Caenorhabditis elegans: one gene and its partner. The protein of the gene in region 1 interacts with the protein of each later gene in a pairwise test. Each region holds a gene or a part of one and is shown on either strand. Other genes may lie near its edges. The genes, in order: mys-2 and ZK899.6.

What was found.
Region 2: the proteins of mys-2 (region 1) and ZK899.6 interact in a two-hybrid assay, tested with the Caenorhabditis elegans proteins (one large-scale study listed by BioGRID).

Annotation. Positions count from the first base shown.
Region 1 is NC_003279.8:14,117,124-14,122,029, forward strand, and holds the start of mys-2 (Histone acetyltransferase), read left to right. Parts: upstream 1-1,629; 5' UTR 1,630-1,634; coding exon 1,635-1,790; intron 1,791-1,913; coding exon 1,914-2,080; intron 2,081-2,823; coding exon 2,824-3,046; intron 3,047-4,124; coding exon 4,125-4,289; intron 4,290-4,885; coding exon 4,886-4,906. Other genes in the region: TLC domain-containing protein fld-1, read left to right, coding at 1-65, 160-280, 584-678, 1,004-1,069.
Region 2 is NC_003284.9:9,461,475-9,465,283, reverse strand, and holds ZK899.6 (C2H2-type domain-containing protein), read right to left. Parts: upstream 1,940-3,809; 5' UTR 1,929-1,939; coding exon 1,844-1,928; intron 1,797-1,843; coding exon 1,690-1,796; intron 1,641-1,689; coding exon 894-1,640; 3' UTR 543-893; downstream 1-542.

The DNA of each region.
Region 1 (4,906 bases):
TGCTCAATATGGTGACACTTTTCGCGTTCCGTCTCTGCGTTTCTGCGTATTTAGTCTATTTTGTGGTGAGATTTTGTGCATTTTTCAGTGGAAAAATCGAGTTTTCGATGATTTTTTCACTAAAAACACGGCAAAATTTGCACAATTTCCATGTTCCAGGTGGTCTCAATTCCGGATCTCGAGTGGTATGTATCAATTATTAACGGTCTAGTCATCGCCTCGCTCGCCTCCACAAATACAGTGCTCACTTACCGGCTTTTGGCAGCTGATGGGCTTTTGGGTGAGATTTTTAAGTTTTTAACTGAAAAATTCGGAATTTTCAGCCGAATTTTAGTCGAAACGCCGAACTTTTGAAGAAAAAACGATTTTTTCGAAGGAAAAAGCGAGAAAAAAGTTGGTTGAGGCTGTAGACTACAAACTACAGAACCAGTATAGCCTCAACCACGATGGTTGAGGCTCAGAGGACTTTGTGTAGTTTGTAGTCTTCGAGCCTCAACCATTGTTTTGGAGAAAAAATGCTTTAGAAAACTCCAATTTTCCTTTTTTTTTTCCTTTTTTTTTAAACAATTTTCGATATTTTCAGGCTCCCGACGTACACGAAGAACCCCCGCAGCTACCGCAGAAACACAAGTTGGTGACGTGGAAAGTGGTCCGCTTAGGACACAAGTTGAGGATGAGGTTCGAAATTTTGGATTTTCTCACCCCAAAATTCATCAGTTTTGCGAAATTTTAGTGAAAATTCGAGAAAAATTCGATGAAAATCGCGAAAATTTCAAGCGAAAACCAATTGGTTGAGGCTGAGCTGAATTTGTAGTTTGTAGTCTCTTAGCCTCACTCAAAGATGGTTGAGGCTCAAAGACTACAAACTACAAAAACATCGATTTCTAGGTCATTTTCACGTGATTTTCTCGAATTTTTCACTCATTTCCCGTTTAGATTTCTCGCAAATCGAGCATAATGACTACAAACTACAATTTAAGTCAATTTATTTGTTTTGTTGCAGGACCATCACACAATCGGAGTGCAAACGATTCATGGAACAACAGAAGACGCGACACAAACTGTTTGAACTCACCCCGCCGCTCCCCCAATTGTACCTATTTATCTGTTAAAAATTGAAATTCTTCGGTTTTTTGGTGATTTTTAAGCGAAAAATCGCGAAAATTTGATAAAAATTGGGTGAGGCTCGCCAAATTTTGTAGTTTGTAGTCTATAGCCTCACCCAACAGATTTTCCACCAAAAATCGACGTTTTCAGTACTTTTTCCTGCTTTTTTTGCCATTTTTTTTTCTGTATCTACCGTAATACTTGTTATTTATTGATTTTTCCCCCCATTTTTTAGCCCCAAATTTTTACCAAATCACTCATTCCATGTCTATCTTGGCCGCGCACCAAAGATGCAAACTGTCATTTTGATGATATCACGAAGTTCCACGACGCTTTTCTCTGCTTACAGTATTTATTTTTTTAAATTTTTTTTTTCACACGAAATTGACTCTAATTTATATTAAAAATACTCGATTTTTGATTTTTGAAAATTTAAATTTTTAAATTTTTAACTGTAATTTACGGTGTTTTATATCGAATTTTTCGACCCGATTTTCAGCCGATTTCAGCAAAAATTTCCAGACAAAATGAGCAAACGAGAGCCGAGGAAACGAGCACACGACTCAACAAATGAGGCAGCTGCTCCCGGCGGAAATGACAGTGAACCCCCGCAACAACAAATAATGCCAATAATTAACAAACGATATATGGTCGAGAAATTCATTATTAATACTGTGAAAAAGGTTCGGAAATCGCTTTTTTTTTTTTTGTGAAAAAATCGATTAAAAACCAGAAATTATTGTTGATTTTTCCTGAAAATTTTCGAGAAAAATCTCTTTTTTTTCCATTAAAAATCAAATTTCCAGGTGGTCGCCGTAATTATACACATTGATTTTCGAAAACCGCCGCAAGAAGTCCGCACGAATAACTATAAATCCATTGAGAATCACGAGCAAGGAGCGAAAGAGCTCATGTATTATGTGCATTATGAGGAGTTGGATCGGAGGAATGATGAATGGATTACGCTGGACAAGTTCGTGTGGAGAAAATTGCAGAAAAATGGGCAAAAATCTATGAAAATCGCGAAATTTCGAGCAAAAACGTATTTTGGTTGAGGCTGAGAAATGTTGTAGTTTGTAGTTTGTGAGCCTCACTCAATGATGGTTGAGGCTCGAAGACTACAAACTACAAAAATAGATAGCCTCAACCAAATGCATTTCGCTTAGAAATTCCTCATTTTTTGCAGATTTTGTTTTTCAAATTTTCACGATTTTTGTAGTTTGTAGTGGGAGAACCTCACCTAGAGGCACTACAAACTACAAAAATATTAGCCTCACCAAAAAATGTTGTAGTTTGTAGTTTTAGCAAAATCTGATAAGTTTTTTTGAAAATGTTTAAAAAAAGCTAAAATTTGCAATATTTTGAGCAAAAACGTATTTTGGTTGAGGCTAAAATATTGTAGTTTGTAGTCTCCGCGCCTCACTCAAAAATGGTTGAGGCGCTGGGACTACAAATTGCTAAAACTACAAACTACAACATTTTTTGGTGAGGCTAATATTTTTGTAGTTTGTAGTGCCTCTAGGTGAGGTTCTCCCACTACAAACTACAAAAATCGTGAAAATTTGAAAAACAAAATCTGAAACCAAATCCATTTCGCATCAAAATTCTCTCATTTTTCGCCGATTTTTCTCAAATTTTCACAATTTTTTGTATTTTGTAGTCACTTAGAGAGACTACAAACTACAAAATTCGAAAAAATTATCGATTTTCATTCAGAATTCTCGTAAACGAAGTGGTAGTCGAGCCGGTGATCAAAGTGCCCACAAAAGCGCCTGTCGAAGATCTACACAAGGAAATTGTCGTCGGACCGCCCGTCATAAAGCCATCTGGAGCCCTAACACGAAGTCAGCGGAGGACATTGGAAGAATATTCACATTTAAAAACGGATCTTAATGATTTGGACGCCACGACCGCCCGGCTAGAACGGGAACATGAAGAAGTACGGGATTTTCTGAAGAAAATTCGAAAAAAATCGAAAAAATTGGTTGAAAATCACAATTTTCTCAATTTCACTCCAAAAAGTGCCAAAATCTGGAAAATTTCATTAAAAAAGTACCCTTTTTTCACCCGAAAAACACGATTTTTTCTCCTTAAAAACTTGGTTGAGGCTAGGATTTTGTAGTTTGTAGTGTATAGCGTCAACCAACATTTTTTACTGTAAAAAAAGTGAATTTTTCAATGGAAAACCCACTTTTTTGAGCTTTTTAATCGAATTTTCAAATTTTTAAGTCAAAAAATCGAGATTTTAAGTCAATTTTTGCATTTGAATAGATTTTTTTCCCATAAAATCCATCCGAATTCCCCCAAAATTCTTTTTTTTTTTTGAAGAAATACGGGACTTTTGAGAGAAAAATCGAAAAAAATCGAAAAATTTGGTTGAAAATCACAATTTTCTCAATTTTCGCTCCAACATGGGCCAAAATCTGGCAAATTTCATTAAAAAACACCCTTTATTACCCGAAAAACACGATTTTTTCTCCTGAAAAACTTGGTTGAGGCTAGGATTTTGTAGTTTGTAGTGTATAGCCTCAACCAACATTTTTTAACTGTAAAAAGTGCATTTTTCAATGGCAAACCCACTTTTTAAAGCTTTTTATCAAGTTTTCAAATTTTTAAGCCAGAAAATCGAGATTTGAGTCACTTTTTTTGCATTTAAATCGATTTTTCCCATAAAATCCACCCGAATTCACCTAAATTCTTTTTTTTTCTGAAGAAATACGGAATTTTTGAGAGAAAATTCGAAAAAAGTCGGAAAATCTGCTCAAAAAAGTGTAAAATCCGCTTTTTTTAATAGAAAAATCAAATAAAAATTGGTTGAGGCTTGAAATTGTTGTAGTTTGTAGTCTATAGCCTCAACCAACATTTTTTCAATGTAAAACGTGAATTTTTCAATGGCAAACCCACTTTTTAAAGCTTTTTAATCAAGTTTTCAAATTTTTAAGCCAGAAAATCGAGATTTTAAGTCAATTTTTGCACTTTTATCAATTTTTCCCCCTAAAATCCTACTTTTTTTGCAGCGTACAAAAGTGAAGAACATACCACAAATAACGATAGGCGCTCACGAGATTCTCGCCTGGTACTATTCACCGTTTCCGCCTGACTGTGAAAATTTGGACATTTATATGTGTGAATATTGCCTACTCTACACACCTCATCACGAACGATTCAAGCAGCACATTGATGTGAGAAAATGCTTTTTTTTTGGCAGTTTTTCCCGTAAAAATAGCCAGAAAACCGGAAATTTGGCCCAAAAATACGAAAAATCGATCCATTTTGTAGTTTGTAGCCTTTTTTCCGCACAAATTTGGCCTAAAAAGCTCCAAAATAAGTTTTTTTTTTTCCCAAAAAAAATTCCGGCTCTGGCTCCGCCCACAAAATGGAAAAAATAATCCGAAAAAGGGCGTGGCTTAGGCTCCGCCCATAAAATGGTTATGTAGTTTGTAGTCGTTTTACTGAATAATTTTCTAAAAAACTCTAAAATCAGCATTTTTCTCGAAAAATCCCATGAAAAACTGCATTTTTGGCCTTAAAAACTGGGCGTGGTCAGACAAGCTCCGCCCACAAAATGGGCGTGTTCATACAGGCTCCGCCCATAAAACGGTTTAAAAAAACCGAAAAATGTGCATATTTTTCCCATTTTCTCTTTTAAAAAAAGTTGTAGGAATCTGAAAATTTACTTTTTCTTCTATAAAGGGGCGTGGCTTAACACAGGCCCCGCCCACAAAATGGCTAAGCATTTTTTTTTGTAGATTGTAGTCAATTTTCAACCCGATTTCAGACGTGCAAAGTGCGTCAACCT
Region 2 (3,809 bases), on another chromosome or scaffold:
GAAGCCAACAGGTTCTGTTAAATTTTTGTAAGTGAAAAAAACATTGTTCGAAGTTTTTTCTCAGAAAAAACTATATGCTCTCTATACCAAAGAACACTTACAAAAATTATTATTAATTTTCTAAAACTTGGAAAGTTCTGCAACTGTTAGATGAATAACACATTTCTGAAAATTTCGACACGTCACATTTATTGATCGTGACCTTGTTTATGTATAGGTCGAAGGGGCACCAGACGGCATTGTTGTTGTGTTTCGGGAGGACACACAAATATTATCAAGTCTAGATGAAAACAAATAAAGTTTATATTATTCCCCCATAAACCATTTCAAATCATTAACTTGTTTAGAGGGTCATTTCCTGATCACGGAGCATGGAGAGTCATGATTTATGTTGTTAAACTTCTGATTGCTAAACAATTGTCTGAAGTTTAGATCGAACAATCATACAACAATAAAAATATGTACTCTTCAACGATGTCAATGCAAATGCTGCCTCATTTCGATAAAATTGCATATTTTCTACATTTGTAATATTTGAGAACTTGTGTGTTGAGAAATGTAAAAAGTGATTTTATTTCATGCTATTGTAAAAGTGCGGTTTTAAATCATTAAGGCAATGACAATCAAGCAAAGAAAGGTGCAGTGCAATGCTGTGAACAAGTGAACAAACAAACAAAAAACTACAAAGCAAGTTATTCAAGAGAGAAGGAGAATCAAGAAGCATATTAAGTCAAAGAGATCAATGAGTGAATAAACTAAGATTGGAACAAGAATGGAGCAAAAAATAAGTTATTTTCTGAAACGGAATTACTTCAAATTTACTGAGCACAACTCAGTTCAGCAATGGTAGCTTTGTAACAAAAACAAAAATTTGTTCTTTAAATTGAGAAGTTTTACATGGTTTCGACATCAATCATTTCCTCGTCAAAGTCTTCAAATTCAAACGATTCTTCATTGACTTCCTGATCAGCAGCGTAGACGATCTCCATACCTTCATTGTTGATATCTTCTTCTCCGTCGTCCAATTTATCAGAATCATACTCATCCCAATCAGATTCCTCCACCTGCTCATCCTCTGAAACATCGGAAGTTTCTGTGTCAGTAGCGTCTTCCATGTGATCAATGCTTCTGGACATTCTTTTAGTTGGGAAAGAGTAGACAATACTTCCAGTTCTTTCATCTTTCTGTTTCTTGATCAAATAACGAACAAAGACGACATCAATCATATTCGAAACGTCAATCATGTAATCCTGGTACTTTTCAATGAAGTACTCCGAGAGTTCATCGAAATGAAGATCAGGTCCAACAGGCTCCAAATTTGGGATAACTCCTTCGGGCAATGGCTGCTTTAGATCCTCTCTAATTTGAATGATGCGCTCATCAGTTTCAAAGTACTGGAAGAGATTACAGAGACTATCATATGAAGTAAGCATGTTTCCAAATAGAGCTTTTGAATTTTGAATGAACGTTGAGTACTCGGATTTGTAGTTCGTGCATTGTTTGGAATGAATAATCACTTTGGCTTCTTCGTTGAAACGTTCCATACACATTCCACACTTCTTGCACTCAGATGCTTCATACAATTCAGAAACACGTTGAGTCATCATTAAAAGACGATTTCCGTGCATGTGCATGTGATACTGAAAGTAGAAAACAATTGAATTTTAATTTTACAAAGATTTGACTTACATTCAAATCGCGTTTTGCATTTTCGAGACATTCATCAATATGCTGAATAAATGGGATTTCCGAATCGAACTTTGAACTGCAATCTGAGCACTGTAACTTGTGGATATCTGAAGAAACGCTATTAGTCAAGAAATTGGATTAGGTTGTAGCTTACTCAAGAAACTGCGACAAGTGTTGATGTTTATTGGAGTTCTCCAAATGTCGAAAATTCTGTGAGGAATGCTAGTGACGGGAGTCATTCTGAAAATTGTCAAATTAGGGCTGAAATTAGGATTTTAAACAATATTATGAATAAAAAAAACAGATAATCGGCTACATGTCATATTGACACTCTGTCTTCCGAAATGACGATACTTTCAAAAACCTACTAGTGCATTATAAGAAATTTACCAAGAAAGACGATGGAAACAATAAATTAGTTACAACAAAAAAGACAGATTTTGGGTATTTTGAACTGTAACACTTGATGATGGACTTAAGATTTGTATTTAAGCTGGGGTACAGTTTGCGACATATATATTTTCACAAAATTAAAACTGATAAATGGAAGATCAAAGCATGAATTGAGCTTAAACATGCATTTTAATATAAATACGAAGATTTTATATTTAAAAACTGAACTTCAATCGAAAGTTCGTATGTTTCAGATTCACATGTTATGATTTTTCTTGAAGATACTCAAAGAAAGACACGTGTGGTGAACTTTTCAAGTTTCTGCTTATTGAGACCGCATTCATTTTTCATTCTTCTATTATTAGCGTGTTTGAATCAATAAGTTATGCTTGAGTAATGATTAAGTTTTACTTGTTTCTCGGAATCAGGTTGTAAGGATCCTTAGGTAAAGATACGAATTAAAATTATAAAATTATAACTAAAATCATTTGAACAAACGCAAATCAATAAAGAAAAAAAAATCGGAGATTTTATTTGACTGTTCAAATTGTTCCCCGCCGTTTTCTTGAAAAATAACTGTTTCTGCTTTTCACTTTTCTATTTTTCGTAAGGGTTTTATCTTCTGAAAAACTGTTTCCAAAAAAATAAAGAATAAACTTTGTCTACCAAGAAAGTGTCCTCTCAACCAGGGCTGCGCGGCAATCGGACAATTTTGGCAATTGCCGAAATTGCCGAAATTGCCGATTGCCGGACATTTTCGGCAATTTTCAAACCTAATTATATTTTGGAAAGTGAAAATGTTCACAGTGTTTTATAGTATTCGATCAGTCATTTTCTTAAATAAAATGGTAAATCATTGTAGGATTAAAACATTTCGAGCTTGAAAAGAGAAAATTGTTCATTGAAATGCCTCTTTAGGCTCGTAAATCTACAAAGAAGTATCAACTTTACATTTCCGGCAATTCTGATTTCCGGCAATCGGCAATTCCCGCAATTGCCGGTTTTCAAAATTCCCGGCAATCGGCAACTTCGGCAATTGCCGGTTTTGTCTTATAAAAAATGGGTTTCAATCAAAGTCAAAAGTGATTTGTACCTACTTCGATCAGAAAATATTACCAATCAATTCGTGACAAAAACTGATGTTTTCTCAAAAAAAATTGCGCATTTACAACAAATAGTTACTTAATTTATCGATAAAAAAGTATACATCAACGAGAAAGAACACTTTTAGTCTGACTTCAATTAGAAATGAGTTACGCGAGATTTGAAAACAATAGTTGTGCTCTGGAAACACAGATAGCGAATATATTTAATTATATGTGATATTCATCTTCAAATTTTGTTTAATTATTGCAAATGTACTAAAAAGTGTATTTGTGTTTAAATCTATTCAAGTAGTTTTTTCACAAACACGGACATGTAAATAGGATTTTTTTAAATGAGCATTTTTGACGCCAAAATCTCATTATAACATGTATCTTAGAATCTTTAAGAAAAATCATGAAATGCAAATGTGAATCGCGTGAACCTTCGATTAATGTTCATTTTTGCTGATTATACGTAAGCTTTCCTTTGAACACTTAGAGGTTCAATACATGCTTCAATATGCCATATCAGTTTTACCTTTTTATTGATAAAATATATATATATATATATATATGTCGCAAACTAACTCTAATACAGATCCTTACTCGATTATCCAATCATGCAAAACAAAATACCCATAA